Linked DNA regions of Drosophila melanogaster. The protein of the gene in region 1 interacts with the protein of each later gene in a pairwise test. Each region holds a gene or a part of one and is shown on either strand. Other genes may lie near its edges.

Region 1 (13,542 bases):
CGGGCGGACCGCACACCTTTCCCGATTGTGATTCAAAGATCCAACGTCTCAGGGACATGGGCATCGACGAGCATGAGGCGCGCGCCGTGCTCTCCAAGGAGAATTGGAATTTGGAGAAGGCCACCGAGGGCCTGTTCAGTTAGCTTGTCCCAGCCGCACTAGCATCAGTACCATTCGCGGCGGTGGCAGCACCAAGAACACCGGCCAACTTCAGCATCAATCCTTCAGAACGGCAATCACGCTAAATTCTTGTACACTCACGCACCAATATATTTTCGTAAATCTTATCCACGAAATTACATTGCCCTGTAGTTATAATAATTCTCTGATCTGTTCTATAATTTTATTATGATTAATGTGCACATCTTTGCCGCTGGGTGGGTCACCAGAAGGTTGAGCCAAAGGCCATGCCCGCGCCCCATTGAGCATGTGGTGTTATGTAATTGAACCCAGGTTCTGTTTCATTAATTTACGTGCAGTCGCATTTACTTGCAGGCTCTTTCTTAAACAGTACTGTTGTTTTCCATTTCAAGCTTAAACTAAAACACAAACAAAAATGATTTACAAAACAAAATAAATGTGAAGGCGAGGAGTGTATAACAAATCGAAGTCTTTGTAAATTGCGTTAAGTTAATAAATAAATAAATAAAAATATTAATAAATGTCTAATGAGAAGTTATGATTTCGGTTTGTGAAGAAGAGGCTGCAAACTTAAAATAGATTTTTGTAAATCATGCCTAGACTGAAGAATGGAAAATGTAATTTACCCTAGATTGATTGAGATATGTAATGTATATTACTATAATTCTTGTTTAATCCATTTTTTAAGGCTCTGTCTAATGCCAAAATTGAAATAAAATCCAAATTCTTGGTGATTTACAAACCAAATAATTGCACAAAACGTGAAAGTAAAATAGAACCCATCGATATCATCCAGATATAATCATTTATATATATATTCTTCTACATATTCATTTAATTTTTCTACATTTCAATGTGAATATTTATGGTTTGCACTAAATATTTGACTAATAATCTGTCACTAAATATTTGGTCTACGATGCTTGCTGGCGAATCCAATAAGTTAATGACTTCACACATATAATACGAATTTCTACTTGTGCTTTTGCTTGGACATGACGGACACGGAGGAGCCACCAGTTGCAAGTGCGGATCCCAGGCAGCTGCTGTTGCTTTGAGCCACGGATGTGCCAGTGGCATTGGTTCCCTGGATCGTGTGATGGCTGTGACGTTGCTTGAGCATCTCCTTCCATTCGGACTCGAGTCGCACGTAGGAGCCACCAAGCGGTTGGGCATTCTGCACCAGACACTGATCCGTTCCGGTCTTTTTGGTCACATAATTGGCGACCTGTTTCATGATCTTCTCCTCGAAGTCGCGCTGATGATCCTGGTTGCTGCGCGCTGACAACTCGCCGGACCAAAAACGACCCGACACATCGGTGGGACTGGCCAAACAGTTCCAGGTAATTATTATTTCATATACATTCAATATTTCAAAATCCTTACCGCTTTCGTGATTTTTTGCCTCTAGTTTTCCTTGGTGGAGGACGATGCTCCGACTCGCAGCCATCGCTACTCGTACTGTAGTCCTCGTCGTCATCGTGAACGTTACGCATGCGTGGCCGCAGGCATCGAGCATCATCCTCGCTGGTGGACGTCGTCTCCGAATCGGTGCTGGTGTCCATTTGATAGCGAGATCCTCGCATCCGACGGCTCACACGATGGTTGGTCACTATGGAGCAGGGTTGAGTACGGAGCACATTACCTTCAAGCACACATACCCACCTCTCTTGAGCACACTGTCCATGCAGAGTTGGGGCAAAAGTCCCTGGCGACATCTTTGTGGCGTTAGGGAGATACCCTGCCAACTGGGACTGATCTCGCCGGCGGCGGCCAATTCCTGAATCCTCAATGGTGGCTGCTCGCACAAGGCGTAGTTCTCGCCCACCAACTGAGCAATGGCCAGGATGGCACGCTCCCTATCCGTCTCCACCAGGACACTGTGCTCGCGAAATTGGCAGCCCTAAAAAAGTAACGAATATTCAATGCAGTAGTATTAGTTTCTGGAAATATATATACATACATTTGGTCCCGGCAGCGTTTCGTAGCGGAATGCCTGCTGACCGCAGCAGGAGAAGCGGCCGGCGGGTCCAGCATTGCCCACGGGACCGAGGAAGTTGGGTGCCTCCGGATGGAAGCGACACCAGTGCATCTGATAGACCGGAAAATGAGCCTCGCACGAGCAGCAGTACAGGTAATGGCAGTGACCCCATAACTTCCAGTACACCTTGCGCCAAGACTTGAGCTCCTTGAAGAGCTGAACGATGTAGACATTAAGATCCCAGTTCGTGTCCCGCACGTGGTGGCTCATCAATTGGCCCCAGCGATTCAGTCGAATGTTGCTGGGCACACAGCTCACATAGGATTTCATAGTGTTGGTCACGCAATTGAAGCACCTGGAGCAACGGAACAGACCGGACATGCTGTAGAAGTGTCCCCTTAGCGCTTCCGGATCCGGTTCGCAGAGGGACTGAATCAATTTGGTCCACAGACGTGGTGTCACTCGCTCCTTTTTATCCCTGACCATTTCCAGCTCGAGATTCGTGAACATGGCCGCCAGTCGGCTGACCAATGCATCATTCAGACAGGACAGATTCGTGGATGTTCGTACAACTTCGCTGAGATGGGCATGACAAAAGGCCAAACACTCAAGGAGTAGAGGTTCCATCTGCAGAAAGCTGGCCGACACCAGAATGGGCACCACATTGTTGCCATCCAACTGGGGACCGGTGCTCTGAGTGGGAACCGGAAGATCCTGGCTTTGGGCACTGTGCTTGATCCACTTCATCAGCCAATCGAAGATAAGGATGTCGCAGTGCACCGATATGTCCATCTCCTCCAATCTCTGACCGGCAGTCACGTCCGCAAAGTAACCCATTTTGGTCACCAGCAAATGCTGCGGGCAGGTGAAGTCCTTCGAGGTGTTCTTCACCTCGTCGCAGACGTGGATCACCACTTCCGGCCTGTTAAACAATTTGAGTTACATATATATCCTGTAAATACATGGTACTTACTCCTTTCGCTCCTGCCTGGCATGTTTGCTATCCTTGACCAGCAGCAGAGATTTGCGTCTGCCGGCGTTCATTGCACCAGGCTTCGGAATCGGCTCCTTAATCATAGCCCGCACCATGCTGTTGGTGATCTGATCCGAATGTAGAGCATCTCCTCCGGGATGAGCCTGCTGCAGGCAAGGAGCCGAGGGAGTGGCTGCCGGCAGAGGCCCATGTGAGTGGCCTATCTCCATCATGGATTTCGATGCTCCCGAGGTGAGAGGAGCTGCCGCTGGAATGGGATTCGTATAGGGAGTGGTAGTGGCCGATGTCTGGGTGAGAAGCTCTTTCGGAGGCTGCAGCTGCTTGGGCTTAGTTTTGCCATTCTGGAGTTGTGTGGGCATTGGGACCGGGCATATAAAGGACAGAACAGAGTCCAGAACTCCCTCATTAATGGCCGCATCCAGTTGCTCGCCAAGCTTGGGATGCAATCCCCGATAGGTCGACTCTGGACGGGAAGAGCGGCCGTGGTGGCTGTGCCCCGAGCGCAATGTACTGGATTTCGCATCCTGTAGCAAACTAGAGCGACTCTCGTTGGAGCTCCTCGAGGGTCGTCGCAGTCCCAGGAGCTCGTTGACCAGTGGATTGTCCGCCAGTTCGGCAAAGTCGAACTCGTCCTTCTTGGTAGCTCTCTTGGTTGACACCGCACTGCCCTCCATCGGCGGTATCGGCTCCCTATTGTGTGGTTTTCCCATGTCGGCTTTCGTAATCATATCGTTCACATGACAGGATAGTTTTAGAAACTCTAGAAACTCGTTCAAAGTGATTTGAAACTCGGCGCCATTGCCGGAATCAATGGATTTCTGGGAGGGAGCCGCTGGTGTCTCCTCCGGCTGTCCAGCAGCCGAGGCTCCCTCGTCGGAGCCGGATTTCTGCATCCTGGCCAATGCAAAAATCAAAGGATATTGGCCATTATTGATTGATTGTTTCGTTGCTCGTAGTAACAAGGAAGTTACTAAAATGAAAAGCGGAAAAAACAATGCAACTGGTGACCCCAATTGATTTTTCAAGCTGTCCAGGAATTTAAGATTACCTGCACATTTAATAAATTGATTATTTTTCCTAAATATTACTTATTCGAGACATATTTCATTTTAAAGAAATGCAACATTATAAGTGGAATTTGGGATATAATAAAGAATAAAACAACAAACTATATATATTATAAAATCAATTTAAGGTCTTGTAACTTAAATTTTTTTTTACTTTTTAAAAAATTAACAAACTTGGTTATTTTTTGTTGTTTGAATTTTCTTCTACGACTACAAGCTTAACAATTTACCGTTAAACAAATATCAGTGTTGTACAGCCCAGATTGGCAAGTCGGGCGGGAAAGTAATAAGATATTTGTTTTTGTAATTAAAAAACACATATTTCTTTTTTAAGTTTTTTTTTAATTGTTCTTCTATATATTCGTTTAAACTACATTTTAGTAATTTTAAATTTAAGTCATATTAACATATTCAGCATTCTTTAAATTTAAATTAAAATTTACAAAACTGCGTATTTCGAAAAATTTTAAAAATATGACCGTTATTACTATCGGTATTTGGGGAAATTTCCGACTGCAGCCCCAATTTTCGATTACGCTCATACGATTACCGTCATTAAGCGCTGGCGATTGTTTAGAAAACTATATCGAAATATCGAAAGCAAACCAAAACATATACATACAAAAATTCATTGATTTTGTCAACGTAAAACACACAGTGTAGCAGGGCAGTTAATTCTGAATGCGGTTAAATAGCACGGTCAACTGAATTAGAAACGCTGGAGCGGCACAAGTGCGGCGGCAATGCGAACGGACTGAAGATAGAAGCCCCAAAGCGAAGGCTTTTACCTGGGCCGCTGTCCAATCAGAACGCTGCTCCCAATCAGAACTGGGCAGGGGGCGGGGGAGGCGAGAGCGAAAAATCCGGATACGGGGGGCAGTAGCAAAAGGCCAAAAAAGAAAAAAAAACGAGCGACGAGTGTGGACTAGCCAGCGATGATGGGAAAATGACCAGGGATCTGAGAGTACGGATCACGGACCACTAGCGGATACGGCCGTAAAATGCCCCGGAACACTTGCAGGCCAAGTGAATGCGCTGCTGCTAGCCAGGATGAGCCGGAGGCGAGTGCGAATAACAACAATAATCACAGCAACAACAACAACAATAACGAGGGCATCATCAAGCAGGAACTGGAGGCCGCTCCGCCGGTTTGCCACCGAAAATCGGAGCGCCGGAGAGTGGCCCGTGATATATTCCTGGTCTTCGAGGAGCAGACCACCCGGCGACGAGGGAAGGGAGCACGGGGCAAGGCCACAAGGGCAAAGCAAAAGTTCGGACACCTGAAGGTGGCCAATACGCCGCGCATCAATAAGAATGTGCTGCGCGACATTAAAACGGAACCAAAGTGCAGCTCGGAAGCCGTTGTGCCGGCTGCTGCCCCAGCTATCACACCCATTCCCGCACTGAATCCCCCAATTCCTCCGCAAATAGCCGCGCTCAATCCTCCGTTGCCGGAGGAGCCGACGTTAGCCAAATCCTTGCCGCGAACGGCGGCCGTAAAATTGGAAACCAAAACGCACGTCACATCCACAGCCACTGCATCCAATGTGGCGGCACCCAAGCGAATTAGTCCCAAGCCCAAGGCTCCATCTGTTCAGGAGAAGGAAAAGGAGGTGGTGTCAGCGGTCACTCCTGCTTCTCTACCAATACCCAAGCCCGCTGCCGCACCCGCCACTTCGCCCACGACGCCCAGCGTCAATCCGATCTTCCTGTGGGTCAAACAGGACGATACCCGCATCGTGGAGGTGCGCTGCGAGGACTACGACAAGCGGAATAGGATTCGTCTGACCAAGACGACCAATGGCTGGCGATCTATGCCGCGCACAGATGCTTCCTCAACTAGGATAGTCAAATTCTTCCATGGCTCCGCCGCCCCACTGATGAAGGTCAAGCGCGAGCAGCATCTGCAGCGTTTGGAGGAGGAGGAGCAACAGCACCAGGAGCAGGAGTTGCAACAGGCGGAGGATCATGAGCGAGAGCAGGAGCAGTCGGAGCAGCAGATGCCCTCCATCGGGCAAACTTTGTTGCAGGATTGGGATGATAGTGCCACGCAATTGCCGGACGAGATCGAAGAGCAGGAGGAGGAGGAAGAGGGACAGGAAAGTGATGCTGCGCAGCAGCAGAACGGCCACTTAGCCACTGTACTCGAAGATGTTGTGGTGATGCCACCTGCCAAAGAGCCGGAGATGGCGCCCACGCCCTGCTTCGATGGGCTGCTTGACAGCGAGGAGACGAATGCCTCCACCAAGGCCACCAAGACCAATACGCCCACATATCAGAGCTCCACACCCTCGCCGCTGCAAATGCAGCTGTGTCCCAAGACGGGTCTGTTTCTGCCGAAAGGAGATCTTGCCCTGGTTCAGCTGCCTGAGGAGGATGTCCTGCCCGAGGAGGCGGAGGACAAGCCACTGGGTGGAAACGATGCCGTGGAGTGTTTCGATGCGAATACTAAGAATCTGAAGGATCTGCTGGACGATGCCGATGATCTGCTACAGAATTGTAGCAGTGAAAACGGCAGCAGTGGAGCGGATTTGCTCGACTCGCTGGTCAAGCGAAGTTGCGAGGACAATCTCGTCCAGGAGACGCGCCCTGGCAACGGAACCAATCCGCCGAACTCCTCAGCCTCCGGCGACGGACTGAGCTCGTTTTGTGTACCCGATCTCGACAAGGACCTGCCCCGCATACTCAACATGGACAACGACGATGCGCCCAAGTGTCTGTCCTTCAATGAGGCGGGTGAGATCGAGGGCCTGAACGGAGAGCTCTTCCTGGGCATCGAGGCGTTCGAGAAGCAGCATGAAGCTGTGGCCACCGAGCCGGAACCACAACCGCCCACTCCAGCCACTGTGGAAATGACCCAAACGCCTACGCCGACACCAACGCCTGAAAAGGAAATGGAAAAATCCGTCGTAGTCGAGGAGACGCCCAAGGATTTGAGCTACAAGAAACGCGAGGAGGTCTGCCCACCATCAGAATCGCGTAGTCAATGTGCGGTGACCTCAAGTTCGGATATACTCAAGTCACCGGAGCGGGAACTCCAGCTGCCGGCCAACTCCATACCTGCTGAGGTGGAGACGACGTCGGAAACCATTAAAAATCTCATCCTGGAGCAGTTCCTCAAGCTTAACAACAATCCCCAACAGGCAGAGCCCATGGATCTGGGCAAAGCTGGCCGCGATGGCAAACTCGAAACGGTCGTTATCGACGACGAGGAGGAGGAGGATTCCAGCCAGCCGCTGAAGAAGCGACCCAAGGCCAGCATTAAGATGGACAAGGATCCGGATCCACTTACCCAACTGAAAATGCTGATCAGCAATCCGCAGTGGAAGGTCCCAGACCCCATACTCGTGCCAAAGGATCGCCTCGGAGCAGTTTTAGCCTCACCGGCCCGAGAGATTCCATTGCTGCTGACAACCAGGCCGGAGTTGCGTCTTCCCGAGGCCTTTGCCTATCCGGAGATCATCCAGAATCCGAACATTCTGGTAGTGACCATGGAGCAGTTGGAGGCCATCCTCAAAACGGAATCGGAGCATGCGGCCAAGGTGACAAAAGACCCGGATCCAGTGATCGTGGTGCCAAGCAAAGCGAGAAGTCCCAGTCCCAAGCAGATACAACCCAAACCTGTGCCTGTTCAACCCAAACCGCCTGCAGTTGCCCCAGTGGCACCAACACCACCATCTCCGGCAGATTCCAGTCTCTCCACGGATCTGAATGCAACCACACTGGCGCTACTCCAACAGATGCTGTGGCTACCATATTTTGGCCAGTTGTCGCAGGAGTTCTTCAAAACGATCAAAGATCCGCTGGGACTACAAAGAAAGTTTATGAGCAATCTCCTGCCGCTGTACAACAACCAATTTGGATTGCAGCATCTGGACGAGCTGTACAAGCATTGTATGAAACAAAAGTCGACGGAAGAGCAGCCACAGCCCAAGGTTACCACTCCCGTGCCGCCTCCTGCAGCAGCTCCGCCTCCACCTCTTCCTCAAAGTACAGCCAGCGGACCAAATTCCTTTAATGGCTTCACCAATCCCGTAGAGCTGGCTCTCATGCAAAAGCTGCTGCAGCCGCAATTGCCACAGTTCCTCAACTGGGAGGCGGCCAAGGAGGCATCATCCACATCATCGGCAGCTGCCACCTCAAATCATCATCATCATCAGGAGCACAAGCGACCCAGAAGGGATACAGAAACGGAGTCCATTAGCAATTTCACCAAATCCAAGCCTTCATCCGGTGCTCCAACTACAACAGCTGCTCCACCACCAGCCGCCGCTGCGCCTGTGCCGGTGGCCACCGCTGCGCCTCCGGCACCAGCTCCTGCGGAGCACAAACCCAGACTGACCATTAAATCCCTCTCGAATCTGCTGGAACCGGAGGCTAACGTGGTTCCACTTCTCAATGTGCCCTTTGACGGAATGCGAGGGCGTCCCTCCATGCACAAGGCCGTTCCAGATCAGGCCAAGGGTGACGCAGGTACGGGACGCACACTACGCTCCAGTAAAGCCTGCGTCACCTATAATCCCCTCGAGCAGGCCAAGCAGCAAATGCACCCAGCCGCCGCCGCACAGCAGCAGCGCAAGCGGGGCAATATGCTCGCCCAGGACGTGCAGCAGCAACAGCACCAGCAAAATCTTGCAGATGCGGCGGCAGCAGCCGGCATGGATGCCAACTCGGCACTGTGGCATCCTCTCTTCGGAAGGTGAGTGATGTTCCTAACCTAATCATCTTTCCCATCTGTTCAAATTAATCCACATCCGTTCCCTTTCAGCAATCCCAAACAAGGCTACAATAGTCCATGGCAGTGGACCACGGTGACGGCATCAGGTGAATGACAGTCAAGCCGGGCTCAAAAGGAGCCAGCACCTGGATCGGGAACAAGGACGGCCAGCTATGAGGAGCAGCATCAGCAGCAGGACTACAGCAACTATCACGCCTCGGCCAAGCAACAGCAGCAACAGCAACCACAACTTCCAGCAGCCAACAATCAAAACCACAGCAACAATAGTAGCAATAAATTTTGTTATCCAACGGCAGCGGCCATGGAGAATATGTTCCAGAACAATCAGATGGCGGCCGCTGCCGCCGCACGCGAATCCCTGCTGAATTCATATCTTTATCAAAAGGATAGCGATGCCGGCAATTATATGGCGGAGCAGAGCTACTGGCAACAGCACCAGCAACATCACCACCAACAGCAGCAGCAGCAGCAGCATCAACAACAACAGCAGCAGCAACATCAACAGCAGCAACATCAGCAGCAGCAGCAACACCAACAACAGCAACACCAACAGCAGCAACAGCAACAGAAGCAGCTCCAGCAGCAGCAGCAGCAGCATCAATGGAGCGCCAACAACGGCAGCAGCAACCAAAGGAGCAACAATTATGCCAACAACTATGCGGCGGCAGCCGCTGCCTCCATGTACATGCAACACTTCAATCCCTACATGCAACAGAAGGCGGCGCTGCTGGCGGAGAAGGCTGCCCAAGCGGCGGCGGCGGCTGCAGCGGTCCAGAGCAGTAACGGTAGCAATAAGCACGGACGCTTCGGCGGTGACTACGGCTAGGAGTCGTCCGGTGGGTTCACGGTTCAGCTAACCGAAGCGCAAGACACTTTAGCGCATAAACATAAACATATAGGCATATGTAACACTTGCGTGTAATAATAACTATATATTTAGAGGCATCGTATAGGCCGTTTTACCGCCAGGAATTGGTAAAGGATAAACCATGATTTTCCTTTAGTTTAATACACAGGAACAGCAACAACAAGGTAACCGGAACGCAAACAACAATAATTTATAAACAACAAACAAGGTGGTAAACACAAGCAGAGAGCAGTAAACATAAAAAAAAACTTAAATTGAATTAGTAAAAATTTGTTATTGGTAGTTTGTTAACAAAAAAGAAAAACACAAAAAATATGAAAAGAAAACAAAGAGGAAAAAACAAAAAAAAAACACGACAAGTAAACAAAAAATAATGTAGAGCGCGAAAGCGGAAGGCAAAAGCAAAAAAAAACCTAATTATTGTATTATTGTTAACCAAAATCTATTATTATTATTATTATCTCAAGCTGCGTTATATTATTATTATTATTATTAACTCGTGTGTCTGTATATAGCGTTTTTATCTAGATGTATTACACTTAGTGATCCCCCCACAACCCGATTCCCATCCCTGGAAACCCACATCCGACTATCCTCCAAAAATGCCAGGACAATCCTTGGACCCTTCACCTTCACCTATGACCTCGCCAAAAATCAAACGAAAACAAAGCGCAGCGCTAAAAGGCAAACAACCGATTTTGTATCCATTCCGAAATGTGTTTCTTTTTGTTTTTACTAGTTATTACGCTGATTATTTATGAAATCATCATCCCTAACATGTGCAATCTAACACTTATGTTCTAGATACAAAAAAAAAAAACAAAAAAACCAAACAAACACAAGAATCACAAAACTTATTAACGCGAAAATGGCAAAGCAAAAGCATGAACATGAAAATGGAAAAATAAAGAGAACCCTTTTAGAGAATTTCGCTGATAAAGGCAACAGAATAGCAAATCGCCACCGAGACTTTTAATTCAGCGGGTTTGGTTGGATCATCCAAATATGATGATTATGATGCAGATGATGCACTTGCACAAGTGGTTCTGTATAAATATAGTTATATTTGCATCTCAAGTTCAGTGTATAATAGGCATATAAAAGTTAATTTCTGTATAAATACGCAACTTTTCACTTACAAACAACATTATGTAATATTTTTTCTGTTTAACATTTAGTTAGAACCACGCTTAAAGTAAGAGTTCCTTTCGAAGGCATTTGAAATGCGCGCGTGCGAATGTTTTCAGCTATGTATCTCTGTGTGGAAGTGTGTGCCCGGTGCGGTTTCTTTGTGCTCCCAGCCGTCGATCTCTTCAGCGATGAGTCGTCGTCGCCATGGGCCAAGGGCCAATCTACTCAATCTGACGGCTGGCCTCCTGCAGGCGCGCCACCACGCCCTGGTAAAACTTAATCTGTTCGGCAATGAAATTCTTAAGCGTATGCTTCAAATGCGTATCCCGCTCGCTCTTGAAGTGGGTCAGCTCGGCCAGCACCGTGTAGGAGACGACATCTGTGCGCCGGTTAACGTCGTGCAACTGGGGATTATTCATCCTGCCCTCGCCGGCCAATTTCTCGCAGTCCTTTCGCTTCTGTATGGCACCCTTGTGCGTGGAGAAGATGTCCGGAAAGCAGTTGAGAACGCCCCTATTTGGAAAAGTGAAAGTAAGAATTAGATAATGCTTCTAGATCGTTCTATAAACAAATAGCGACGGAAAGTTACCACATTCTCTAGAAGTTATATATATATTATACATATGTATATCTATGTATATATTTCTTGTTAAACTAAAGGTCAGTCAGCGTAAGAACCACAATAATCTAAAATAAACTATTGGCCAACAATCGATTTTTCTCGCGAAACTATACATTGATTCATTGCTTAAAAGTAAACAATTTGAGTTCTTTATAAATAAACTTGATACCTTAAAAACAATTTACAAGAAAGTAATCTATCGAAAATTTTTAATTGTGAGTAATTCAGCCATATATGTATGTGCCTATTGTAACTTCTAGTATAGAAATGACACATGTCGTGGAATTCCCATTTTCAGTCAGCTAATCAATTACTGATGAATGAAACGAAATGTGCTATGCTTCCCATCACTTATAGAGACGTCAACCCACCTGTAGATGTGAAGTCGATCCGAGAGGGGAATCCAATCATGCTTTGGCTGGTCGCCAAAGGCCTGTCCAATACCGATAAAGATGCCACCGATGCGGCCGACGCTCTCGGAGAGCGGAACCGCGTTTCGGGTGGGCGCACGCCGCTCATCGATGGCCAATGCCTTGGCCAGGTCGGAGAGTCCGTCGCCAATGCGCTGGAACTCCTTTTTACTCTGCGACATGGAGCGCTTGGCCATGTCGTTGGATATATTGTTCAGGTTGCGTACTGCCACGTCCATGCTGTGTATGAACTGGGTGCCCAGCTCCACCTGTGCGTCCACCTTAGAGTGCAGCAGGTTCTTGTCCGGCGGCGAGATGGCCAGGCAGTAGTTGACGCCCATGTAGGGATCCCGTTCCGCCTTGCGTTTGCCCGACTTCCAGATCTTCTCGTCGCGGCAAGTGAGGAAATGGTACCAGACCTCGCATTTGGAGATCACCGGATGGCGGCACACCCAGTCGACGAACTCCTGCAGCTGCACACGTCGATGCTCCACGAATTGCTCCTCATAGCGGCCGGAGATCTGCTTGTCCGGCAGCGGTGGCACCGGAATCAGGCAAAACTTGTCCACCAAACGTTCGTGCAGCCAGTCGAAGTGCTTGTAGCGACGTGACACCTAACGAAAGGGAAACCCAGATTAGATATGACCAATTAATTGTGATTGGGTCACGCAAAGAGGAGCCCGGAGCTCGGGGGGTCAGAGCTCGTTGCTGAGTCATTCCCCGTGGCGGTTCGCAAGCACAAGCAATCATCGCAGTGCCGCTGGCTACCAGTTGGTCAGAATTGCCCCCACAAAGAAGAATTTTAAGTGCTTTTACGACTCTGTAATGCTCTACCTATTTGTATGTGTATTTTAATGGACTGAAAGAACTTTACAAAGAGCTTTGATTTCAGTTCGAAAGTAATGTCGAGCATTTATGCTTCTCATTATTGTAATGAATAAAGTTGATCGAAATTATCAAAATACTATTTAAGTAGCTAATAAGAAATGAACTATAGCTTTGAATAGTATTAAAACTTTAACAAATAAAAAGATAAATTTAGCCAATTTTCAGAGTCTTAATAAAACAAACCAATTAAAGAAATGGATATGATCTCCATTTAAATTTTCTCAGCAAAAAAGGGTCACTTTTAAGGTCAACTCAGTTGGAAAATGTTGGCCGGCAATTAGTGCGGAGTTTCGATAAACAAAGGATTGGTCTTTCTTTATTCCATTCCATCTGCTCGTGAGCACATGAACCAGCCCAAATTACCCTTGGCAGAGGGTAGCGAACACAGCACAGACACATATTATCAACAAAATATTGCACCCGTAGTTACACACTCATGCGCCAACGGTCGGAGCTTTATCGTATTGTGTTGTTAATCACGGCGATATCAGGGTTGGCCAACTTACGGATATGTTGTTGAAGCTAGGCGTCAGTTGGTAGGCAATGAACGTCTTCATCCCCTTGAATTTGGACTCCTTTTTGGGACTGGCCACCACAACGGAGTAGGGCGAATGGTTCTGCGTCCACTGGTAGATCGAGTCCTCCACCTGTGTAATGTAGGCCATCTCGCATTCGGGTATCTTCTCCTTGGTGCTGGACAAG
Region 2 (11,989 bases), on another chromosome or scaffold:
AGAAGCGTTTATTATTATTAATGGATTGTCATTAGTTAGCAATATGGTTTTAGTTATTAACAGACAAAATTGGGTTTCAAAATTAAGAGCTTTTAATTGGTATAAATAATACGAAAACTAGAAGACACTTCTTTTTAAATTTTATTAATTTGTAAACTAGGGTAAAACACAAGTACTAAAACATTTTCACATTTACATTTTTAGTACCTCTTTAACTTATTATATATATTGGTTTTACCCCTTTTAACCCTCTCGCCACCTAATCTCCGGTTTCTTCTATCAATGGCACCTCAAATTAGACACCTTAAACCGCCAGACAAGTTGGCTGACTTATTGAATGGCCACAGGAGAAGTGGTGTACAGTGGACATATGGGTTTATCGCCGTCACATCAAACAAATTGCACGTTGACATTCGCAGATCTCGGGGCGATCGACAGAAATGCAGCTAAGAGCTTTGCCGATTTTCCACTTAATTAATTAATCAAATTGCAACATCCGCCCAAGATCGCCGCTATGTCTAAATCTCGATCTGGATGTGGGTCTGGGCTGGTCAGGTGGCGGTGCCGTTGCCTTCGCCTTTCACGCTACAAAGGCTCGCTAGCGAACACGTTGCCAAATTCGATATGAAGTAATAAGCTGGTCAAGTCGAGGTGGGGGTCAGGTGGAGTTTCGTTGGAGCGGAGTACCTTGGTGCGTATGCATAACAGGCATATCTTGCGCCACATTCGCTTAGAACCACATTACGACTCTGAGTGAAGTCGCCTACCAATTCGGCATCCCCGCCTCCTGCGCACGCACGCACTTGGACAGATCGGACACCGCCGCCTCTCCACCTGATCGCAGCCTCCAGTTCCATGCTACGCGCGGGCGTGCCGGCTGTCGCCCGCTGTCCAGCGTCGCCCAACCCAATCAGCAACAAGAGACATATAAATTGAAGTAGTCTCTATAAATAATAAGTTGTGTCTACTTAGCGACATGTACACTGGCTTAGATCGTGTCCGATACCAAAGGGGATCGGGGGATTCGGTGGAGGATGGAGGAGCTGAAAAGCGCACGTATGTTTTGGCAAAACTGTCAAATTTACTAAGCGAATGGTGCTTAATTCGCTCGCTAATGCACTTGTAGCTCTTGCATTGCAAATCTGAAACACTTAAGCTTATACAGATTATATATAATAATATTCAACTTTTGGCATTTCTAAAGTTTTTTATTATCGATTTCAGCTGATTTCTATGTTTTCTTGAAATATCAAAAAATTGCAAATAGATTACATATGTATTTCACTGACATCTTTTTGGTTTTCTTTTTTTTTTTTTCTTCTTTTTTGTTAATCGTTCAGCTGTGACAACAATACGACGCACTACACATAATCATTTGTCTCACATATGAATTCTTTATGTAGAAAAGGTTAAGTAAATCGCTAGCGTATTGTACTATATAGAGCCGTATGTGTTCAGTAATTGGCAATTTTGAAAACGTTGAATCTATTGGCTGTGCTTTGCCTGCTCTCAGCACCACAGCTCGTCCTTAAAATAATAAAAATAATATAGAACACAATTACAACAATGAAAACGAGTGCATGGTCTGTGTCGCAGGCAAATAGCCACTGAGGTAAAAAAAAAAGCAAAAGCTGTTAACAAGAAAAGGTGCGACGGTCACCAGACTGATGCCTACGCTCCTCATAATGCGCCCGGTTTCAGGGAGAACGATAGCTTGGGCCTGGAATTGTTTTTGCCTAATATGACCTTCTGCTCTTCCTTGACGCGCTTCTCCTGCTCCTTGCGCATGCGTTGCCGCTCCTCGTCCATAAGGCGCTGCTCCTCGATTATTGCTAACCGTTCTTCGGCCTAAAGAAAAAAGAAATCAATTATGATCATAATAATATGGTTTGTTTGCTATGAATTCTTACCAGTTTTCTTTGCGCCTCTTCGATTTTGCGATTGTTTTCGGCCAAAATTTCTTCGAGCTCTTCGCGTTTTTGTTTTTCATCCTCCTATAAAACCCAAACAAGAAGACGATTAATAACAAAAATCGATCCTTTAGCGAGAAGCTTAATGCTAATTATAGAAATAAACAGTCTCTTGACATCAGCGATGCAAACTGTGCGACGAATTCGACGCACGTTTGTGGTTGCAGTTTTTTGCTTGATGAGCTGCAAAGGCAGTTAAAATCTAGTTTTATGTTTAACAATAAGTTACAAAGAATATTTTCGGTAGAAAGTAAAACATTTAGTAGTGTCTAATAAGAATGTTTAAAGTAGGTTGTTCTTTTAGTTTATTACAATAAAGGAGCACACAACATAAACAAATGTACTAGTATTTGCTAAATGGTTGGTCTTCATTTGGTTTTTTTTTTTTTTTATTGTTGCTACTTACTATTTAAATAGGTCATTATTCCAGTAAATAGGCTAAATTTGTGTTAATTTATGGTTTTCTTTTTTTTTTTTTTTGCAGATTTTCGATTTGGGATTATTTTTGTGGAGTTTTTCGCTATTCCAGACGTACATATGTAATTTGCTCGCAAAAACAAAAAGCTTAAACACAAATAAGTGGCAATCCAATGCGTATCCGGTTTCAAAAATTCTTACAGACAGAGTTCTATAGAGCTAAACCCTGGGGGGAGTCTTTGAGTCTTTGGGTCTGTGCGCCGTCCTTTCTCGCCTGTTATCCTTACGGCTGCTGGGCAACATCACACATCGCTGGCGTAGGAAACTCACCCGTTATCAAAAGTGGCAGTGATTTGATTTGCATGCAGCGTACTGTTGGGACTAAACTCAGTCGGCCCGCCCACAACTAGAGTGCCTAACTACCCGGACTAACTTAGGGACACCATACCACTTCGCTGGGCTTTGGTATTTCTTTGATTCTTTTGATATTTATTGTTTGGTGTGGAGGAAATGCGTCCGTGGACCAATCGCTCGGCAGCAGGCTTGCTCAACTTCCGGCATGGCGGCACAACGTGGAGTGCACGCGAGTGTTTTGCGGGTAAGGATCACAAAACAGCCACACACACCCACTTGCATACGGGACAAGAGCAGCACGTTCGTTGCACGGGCCTACTGAAGCGGAATTTGCGCGCAATAACAACAACAACGAGTTACGAGAACCAATACCAAAAAAATTAAAATGATACAGTATGTGGGTAGGAACGAACAAAAGATGAAGCTAAGAGTATGCAATAAGTCTGCAATAATGGGCATCAAAACTTTGACACATGCGACACTTGGCAATGTCGTCATTTTGGCTTTTTTGGTAGGAAAAATAAAAAGTTACAAAATTATTGGCAAGAAGAAAAAAAGGGGCAAAACGAGCCGTGGCGTTCTCATCTCGGCTCACAGCATTTAGCTTGCTGCATCATGTGGGGAGGGCTCTGAAAAGTTGCGACTGGTTAGTGATGTACCCGGTTAGTGGGCGCCCTTGGCCCAGGGTTATGCAAGCAATCTAGTACGGGGAGGCTGCTGATGGGACATGGGTTGATGGATGAACAGCCAGTGAGCCGCGACTGAGAGCGCCGCCGGATCGATTTCGCGTGACGTGGTGGAGACGACTGTTTGAACTGCTGTTTTGGATTTATTCAAGTGTACGGTAAATGTGGCATTGTGTACGTGTTTCTGACAGTGATAGCAGCAGTCGTCCAGCGGAATCTGAATACGAGCACCTACCTCGCGCCGGCGTTCTTCTTCGCGTATCTGCTCTCGCCGCCGCTCCAGCTCCAGCATCATTTCGCGCTCCATCTCAGCCTTGGCGGTCTCAACGCGTCGATTGACCTCCTGTTCGATTTCGTCGCGACGCTTTTCTAGCTCCTCCTCGACGCGCTTTTTTACCAGCATCTCTATGCGCTTGGCGGCTTCCTCTTCGATTGTCTTTTGCTCGAGCTCCTTCGCCCGACGCTGCCGCTCCATCTCGGCCAGGCGTTCGACCTGCATCTGGTTTTGCTGTAATGGTAGATCATAGTTTAGTTGCTTTCATCGAAACAGTTGTATCATAAGCGCAGCATGAGTGTCCATCCCGGAAAAATGCGTGTATGGAATGCGTACCCATGGAGTGCTCAAGATGACAGACTATGGACACTATCCACTTACCTCATCCAGCTTCTTAAAGCGGCTGCGCTTCTGTTTGCTACGTTGCGACTCCTGCTCGGAGTACTGACTGTCGCTGCTCGACGAGCTGGAGCGTTTTCGGGATTTCAGGATCGAGGGGGAGTGACGGTAGTCGCGCTCAGTGTGTCGGTCGCTGCGGTGTCTATCCCGCTCGCGGTCCCTGTCCCGTTCGCGATGTCGTCCATGGTTGTTCACCTCCGAGGACTTGTCTCTATCCGTTCTTGTGCTGGGCCGCTCGTGGTCGTGGTGGGACTTACTGCGTTTTTTGTGCTTGCTCTTATGGTGGCGTCGCTTGCCCGACGGACTGGGTGTACGTGAACGGGAGCCCATGGTGCTGGATTGTGTGATTGTATAAGATTTCGAGCTAGTCGAAGGGCTTAACTTGGCTGCCACAACAAATCAATGAGAGCGAATTTAATTTCTCGAGCAATTTTCACAGATGCCTTAAAACAGTGTGCACAACGTTGGCATACTGGCCTGACATAATTCTGGTATTTTTTTTGATACGGTATTTTCTGTGCTTTTTTTATTTTAATTTCTGTGTTGCCCAACATTAGACCGGCAATTGTTTTCAGTTCACATTGGTTTGTTTTGATCTAAAATCATTTGGTGGAACTTGTCGATCATGACTTGGTTATCCTTAAAGCCGACGCACTGCTTGGCCTCCTCCTTGGGCAGCCACTTGAGGTCGGTGTGCTCCTCGGAGAGAATGGGCTCCTGGCAGGGATTCCGCAGCTCCGCTAGCCAGTAAATAACAATCTTCGGCTTGTCTTGCACCTGATAATTCAGGGTCAGCGGAGTGTCCTTGTATATGATCAGATCCTTCTCGTCGTACCTATGAGAGCATTTTTGAAATTAAGCATGTTTTAAAAGATATATCGTTGTGCACTTTCCCGGCTTCCTCTTTCGTTTCTCGCAGGGCAGTGGTAAAATCATCCTCGCCTGGGTCCACATGTCCCTTGGGAGAACTCCAGTGGAAGGAGCCGTAGGAAGCCTTCAGCAATAGGTATTGTATTTCCCCACAAAGGCGGCGAAAAATAACAAAACCAGCTGCCTTTTCCATGTTGTTGCTATCAATTAACCGAAACAGGTGTTTGAACAGTGCTCGAAAGTCTCCAATAACAGTGGTGCTTTTCTAGCTGTTTCCCTCTTTTGCTTATTAGTAGTTCACTTCGTGTGAGAGGAAATTAGTCAGTGTTGAAAAGCGAATGCAGATTTAACGTATGCTTGCGGACTTGCACGTTGTTTTGTAAATTCATTACATAAATTGAGAAGAAGTGCATCCGATATGTACGCCCTGCTTCGCCGCTTTGCCGGCGTCACCAACTTGGGATGTCCCATCAGAACCTACGCCTCCCTTACGCCCAGAGATGTATTGCGGAGCAGCGATGAGACCGGCACACTGCTGACCCGCTTCGCCAAGCACATTGCACTGGAGCGCTACAGGGATTCGGATCACGTGTTGCCCAAGACGACGGTCCGGTACTCTGACTTCTTTCCCATCACGGACGACCGGTACTTTCAGCGGACGGTAGAGAAAACGGATGCAGCCCAATTGCCCGCCCTGATCATCCAGGCATCCAGCTATCGCTCCAATGCCGCTGTACCCATGTATGTGACTGCGCTTAACACGTTGGATAACCATGCGGCTAAACAGCTGGACAAGATGGATACCGCCACAGTGCTCGAGACGCTCTACTCCTTTCTATTCCTCATACCAAGTTGGATAAAGCGATTGGATTTTTACCAAGCAGCCATGCAACGACTGGTCAGGGAGGATTTTCGCGGCAACAAGGAGCGATTCGTTCAGGTGTGCTTCTATATGGGATTGCAAAAGAAGCAGGCCAAATCTTCTGAGGAATTCCAGCAACTCCTGGAAGAGCATCTACAAACGCATTTGCCTGAACTAAATGAAATGGACCTTGCCGTGGTCAGCAATGCGGCGTACAAAACCTCAACTTTGGTAACCGGTGAGGCGAAAACGGCATACGAAGCAAGACTCGTTAATGCCATATTAAATCTGGAGATAAACACCGGAAGCGATGCCTTGCTGGTCTCCTTTGTCAAGGCATTGCGTCTGCAGCAAGTCAAAGATGAACGAGTGTGCCAGCACCTGCAAGATATCTGTCTGGATCCTGTAAAGATAACCCATATTGAACCCCGAGGACTTGCCCATATCTTTGCATTCTTTGCCGAGCAGCTTTGGGATCAGAATGAATGCCTAACTGTCGTCGTAAAACGACTCATGACTCTTCTCAAGCCTGGAGACCTGCGCTCCAAAGACTTGGCCACATTCCTGTGGGCCAGCGCTCAACTCAATTGTGCATTGACTCCTGAGGAAATCAGACAATTGGAACTGACCGCCCTGCGCAAGCTGGATCATGGGGAGTACGAATATTTCCCTGACAACCTTGTTGACACCTGCCTCTCTCTGTGCACTTTGGGTCACTACTCTAAGGATCTGATTAATGCAGCTGAAGAACTAAAAGCTGCCCAAAAACGCCAGCGAGCCCAACCCAAGGTGGATAGTCGTTTAATTGTGCTGCGATCTGCTGTGGCCATTGAGCAGCCTTCAATTGCTAAAGTTAAAACAGAACGAGCTTTTAAAGAGTTTGATGGAGCACCAGCTTATTTGCTAAAAGATCGCCCAGACTTGACGAAATACGCCCAGGAGCTGAGTGGCGACGCGGATGTGGAGGGCGTGGATGTGGTGTGTCCCATTGTCGGAATAAATTTGCCAAGCTTACGAGTGCAGACAATGGGTGCCCAGGAGAGTGTGTACTTTGTTGAACTGCTAACCGCAGAACAGACTCTGAAATTCAGCAAGAAACCGACTTCATTAATACGTCTTAAGAAAAGACTTTTGGAATCCCTTGGCCGAAAAGTTGTAGTAGTAAGCATTATAGAGAGTTGAAACTATATAAACACAGTTTAACACATCGTTTTGTTTCAGCTAAACTCAACAGAAATGGCCACCAATGCAAAGGAACTCCGCCAGCTCCTAGAACCGGCAGCAAATGCAGGAGAAGAATCCAAGGTTGCCCAAGGCGTGGGCAACTGAATTGTGTGATATAATATGGGGCCATATCGGCCTTCTAGGCTAGTTACAAATCGTAGCTTTATTTAACAGTGTTTTATGTACTTGTACATATTATTTAAATATTAATAGCACTAAACATAATGGTCAACAATTAATGTATAATACAAGGAATGGGCTACAGGTGTGTCTCCCCCAGCTGTCCTATCGGATCGACTTGATCTTGGCCTTCAGCACCACGTAGGACACAAATCGGAAAACCAGGATCATGACTCCCAGCGCGATCACATCGTTCCAGAACTGATCACCCCTCATGGTGATTTCCTCTAAGAATTTCTTTGGATACCTATAAACACAAAGCAGAGTTAGCGCTTGAGAAAAAGAAAAGTTAGCAGAATCTAATTACCTGTAATGGCAGTACGGCGCCTCCTCGCAGGCCAAGGTACCTCGATCCAAGCCATAAATGGCTGATATGAAGCCCTCAAGTCCATATCTTAAGTATGATATGTGACTGCCCCACCTTAAGTAGCTTGGCAGATCACGCAGGGTCACTCCAAAGCCGGCGAACATCATCATGGGAATCGTTAGCACTGGGGCCAAGAACGTTCCATTCACCACATCGAACCAGGCACCAATCATCAAACCAAAACTATGTCCCACAAAGACGGTCAGTAAACTAATGGAGAAGAACATAAAGAATCTGATCCACTCCATCGGCTGATAACTCCAAAGGTAAACGATGACAGTGAAGAAGAAACAACTTATGATCTGTAACCAAAAGGGTCAGTTAAAAATTGAAAATGGGATATTAAAGATCGCTACGCACAGATATGGGCAGGTCCACGAGTGTCATGGCAGTGTAGTAGGCTTTGAGTGAGTACCAGCGATTGAAGTGCTCCTTGATCAATATGGAGATGTCCATGGGGACTGGTCAAATGATATTCAAATAAGTTAATATGTCTACGCAATCGACTCAAGTGAGCTTACAAGTCAGAACAGTCAACATCATCGTGGTCATGGAATGGTGCATCAGTATGGCAAACAGAAGATTGTAGTTGTCGAGCACTCGTGATCCTTCACGTCCCGTGTGATCGTACATAGCTCCGAACAGAGCGGCCACTGCTATGTTGACTCCGATCCTCAAGTGCGTCATGGTCGTGTCTCGTTTGGCTTTGATGAAACCTCGTCGCAAAAGCACAGAGCACTGGTTTGAGTAGCTGGTGTCCTCCAGGGATCGGCTTTTGGTTTTCTTTGGTATGGGATACTTTCTCATCAAGACCTCAGCGCGCAACACCGCACTGGGATTATGGAACCAAGTCAGGCAGCTTCCGTTCTCAGTGGCGAGCTTAAGGGTGTCGACCTTGTCGTATCCATACTCTCCGCAAGCGAGCTCGATAACTGGAGCAATAAGGATTGTATTAGTGTAAATTCACTCAGAGATCTGTGCTGGACTCACTGTAATCCGCTGGATTGTGGTACATCGGACAGGGCAGATCCACCGACTGCAGGAACGGCACCAATTTCTGGGTGCTGCCCTGGTAGACGCAGTTGCCAGCGGACAGGACGTAGACCTGATCGAAGATCTGGAACAACTTGGCCGTCGGCTGATGGATGGTGCAAATAATGGTGCGTCCTTGGCTGGTCAACTTCTTGAGCAGCTCCAGGACCTTTGTGCACGAGCTACTGTCCAAGCCACTGAAAGAAAGAAAAGCAAGATGTAAACATTCCTCAGTTTGTTAAAAATGGATATATTGGCTCATACGTTGTGGGCTCGTCCAGGAACATCACAGTGGGATTATTGATCAACTCCATGGCAATGGATAGCCTCTTCTTCTGACCACCGGACAGGCGCATTGTAAGGGTCTGATCGTGATTGTACAGACCAAGGAGCAGCAGAATGTCCTCGATCTGCAAGGGTAAATCCGCGATTTATGACTATGATCTTTAAGTGAAGATCACCCCACTCACCCTGCTCTCCTTCTCCTCGTAGCTGACTGTCTGACCCAGTTTAAGATCGGCGGCTATATGCATATTCTCGTTTACCGTCAGCAGCGGCTGCAGACGATCATCCTGGGTGATGTAGCAGGACATCCGACGGAAGGAAGCTGCAGGGAGGGATTACCATGAATTCTGGATATATTGAATAAATTAAGTGAGGTCATATACTAACGCAAATCACGTCGCCGACCATTGAGCAAGATGGAGCCATCCACTCCGGTCGTCTTGAAACCTGAAAGGGCATCTAGCAAAGTGGACTTTCCTGCACCCGAAGGTCCCATGATGGCAATCAGCTGGCTGCCTGGGAACTTTCCGCACACATTGTGCAAGATTTCCTTGGATCCTAAGAAATTGCGAAATTACTTAAATGCCATCGTAAAATATGATCATAAAAACTTAATAGACATTCAGTGTGTTTTTTTTTTATACGGTCGTCGGTATCAAGGTTCAGGGAACCAATGGAGAACCCATGAGTACGCGTACGAGCGACGATATTCATGAATCATCTGCAGGCTATAACTTGGCTGAATTAAACGGCTATTGAGGTAAGATCTCGAGTAAATCTACATTAATCCACTTCAGTGAATAACCTGTTAACTACACAACTCGAAAACAATTCAAATCAGTAAACAATTCTAGGTGATATACGTATCAAGCCATAGAAAAGAGTTGCAAATATAGGGAAAAAGGGTTTAGCTTAATTAACTCAATCTTTCACAGTAATCGTATTGTTATGTTAGCAATATTACACATTTTAGCACTTCTAGTCACCAATTTAACATTCCGATAGCAATGGCCATATATCCACCTACCGAAAGGTTGATTAATTAATTACCGCCACGGGTTGAAAATTTGTGCAGTTCTAATCAAGTTACCAGGGGCTAAACAATGTCGATATCTTTTGAACTTTGAAATTAGCAAAATGTTCTAAAGCCAAACCCATCATATCGAATTACAAATGCTCTACTAACTATCGTATTGGCAAGTTATTTCTTATCATTTTATGGACTCGACGGAAAGGGAATTTATGAATGACTAACTGGCATTGAATATATACAACCGGGAAGGGGGTGTGATCGGAATAAGCGGAGTGATCGGCTCTTATCTAATCAATGGAAAACCAAGTTGGTTAAAGAACTAGCAAGCAAGTGTTTGGCAAGTGATTGGTATGTGGAGGCACTGCCGAAAAGAATAACCTTGTAGTAAACTTTGTTCGGATGTAATTATCTTATGGCACTCGTACTTAAGAAACATTTGAAATATAGTATCTGAAGGATTTGCTTTATCTGAGTATATCTGTATCCCTTAGAATACTATTAATGAAAAGACTTTCTAGCATATGTTTTATCTTCTATTATAACAGTAGTTTTGTCTAGTCATAATTTAGATATTATTTATGAGACTATATTGGTAGGATATAAAGAATTGAAGGTCATTCCCGTTCAAAGAGTAGCCGCTGATCGTAAAACATATATAAATGCCCAGCTAATTTTAAGTTCTCCGCTGCCCCAATCTTATCGAGCCATATCTTAGATCATGCGATCGCAATGGTTAGTTAGCGACAACTCGCTTCTTGTAGCTCACCTCGATTGAAGCCCAATTTGACGGTGAGGGACAGCTCCTTGAACTCCATGTCCACAGGCTCGCGAGCTGGCAGATTATTGAGGGCATCGGTGTCGAAGTGCACCTCCTCCTCCACGACAGGTTCCAGTGGCGGCTGCTTGCTGGGCTCATTCCCATTGGTATAGTTCACCTGTGGCGGTGTGGGTATGGGTGGTGGCGTAACACTGGACTGGGCATTCCGCCATCCGCCACTGTTGCCAACTGGCACTGTGGTGCTGTTATAGACGCGACTGGAGGTCACCTCCCCGATCTCGATGCCCAGACCGAGGCCGGCCACTCCGTTGTCGCTGCCGAACAAGAACTGCTCGCGCGGTGTCGCCATTCTGGGATTCTAGGATAGCCTGTCAACTGTAATATAATAAAAATATATATTTCGGATTCACTGAAAGTTTTCTATTACATCCTAAAAGCTTAACTCTATATGAAACTCTTCTCTTGATGATTAGCCAGTTGGATCTTTGTCTGCAGATTTGATGGATTGTGCAAGGTGCGTGGCTAAAAGTGGGAATCAGTTGGCAACCAGTTGCTAGCCGATACAAAATATTTAGCTTAGCTTATTGAAACGGGTTCCACGCCAGCTGAATGTGCACTTTGATCGAAAGCTGGGGGAGATCGATCAACCTTTGTCGTCTAACCCCGTCATATTCACATGGATTATTCACGATTGCACGGTGAGATTGTTAATTTTAAAGGGCATGTAAAGGGAGGAGGATCGATGGGGATAGCAACTAATCCAGCGTAGATGATGCTTCCGATTAACCAAAGACATGGTGTCGAATTGGATGGATGTCGAAACCATGCAATTATCATCCACCGTTCGCATTAAGTGCCAGTTTACATAAGCGAAATGTAGCACGCAGTTTACTCCACATTTCGCACTGCTGCAAAAGACAATTAAATGCGAGTACATTTAATGCACAGATTTGCGAAAAGATCAAGGTACAATTGCTCAGACGGAGGCGGAGGCAAACAATAAAGCGGCACAATTGAGTGGAAATGGAATGATGGAATGGCGATGGTGAGAGTGCCGTCGTATATGCACATCTGCCATTGATCCGTCCATCCAAGCGATCCACTCGATTCTCTAGATCCGATCCCATCCCATCTGATCCGATCCGATCCGAGCTGATCAAAACAAAAGCATTGTTCCAAGCGGCGAGTTAACAACAAATGTAATAAATGCAATAAATGTAGCTGCAGCTACATATTGATGGGCTACAGCTTATCAAAG

The links.
Region 2: the proteins of CG16711 (region 1) and CG4619 interact in a two-hybrid assay, tested with the Drosophila melanogaster proteins (one large-scale study listed by BioGRID).

The regions. Positions count from the first base shown.
Region 1 is NT_037436.4:9,699,587-9,713,128, forward strand, and holds CG16711 (uncharacterized protein), read left to right. Parts: upstream 1-4,744; 5' UTR 4,745-5,184; coding exon 5,185-8,882; intron 8,883-8,951; coding exon 8,952-9,015; coding exon of another isoform or gene 9,016-9,747; 3' UTR 9,748-10,743; downstream 10,744-13,542. Other genes in the region: Ubc4 (ubiquitin conjugating enzyme 4), read left to right, coding at 1-143; CG6761 (uncharacterized protein), read right to left, coding at 1,115-1,466, 1,528-1,753, 1,807-2,044, 2,105-3,044, 3,096-4,009; SH3PX1 (SH3 and PX domain containing 1), read right to left, coding at 11,142-11,433, 11,914-12,566, 13,347-13,542.
Region 2 is NT_033779.5:9,933,576-9,945,564, forward strand, and holds CG4619 (uncharacterized protein), read left to right. Parts: upstream 1-5,287; 5' UTR 5,288-5,388; coding exon 5,389-6,993; intron 6,994-7,053; coding exon 7,054-7,161; 3' UTR 7,162-7,341; coding exon of another isoform or gene 7,342-7,483; 3' UTR 7,484-7,543; coding exon of another isoform or gene 7,544-7,905; 3' UTR 7,906-7,963; coding exon of another isoform or gene 7,964-8,064; 3' UTR 8,065-8,124; coding exon of another isoform or gene 8,125-8,535; 3' UTR 8,536-8,593; coding exon of another isoform or gene 8,594-8,832; 3' UTR 8,833-8,899; coding exon of another isoform or gene 8,900-9,045; 3' UTR 9,046-9,105; coding exon of another isoform or gene 9,106-9,242; 3' UTR 9,243-9,307; coding exon of another isoform or gene 9,308-9,478; 3' UTR 9,479-9,483; downstream 9,484-11,989. Other genes in the region: Arglu1 (arginine and glutamate rich 1), read right to left, coding at 1,681-1,848, 1,911-1,994, 3,663-3,935, 4,083-4,430; CG5853 (uncharacterized protein), read right to left, coding at 7,342-7,483, 7,544-7,905, 7,964-8,064, 8,125-8,535, 8,594-8,832, 8,900-9,045, 9,106-9,242, 9,308-9,478 and 1 more.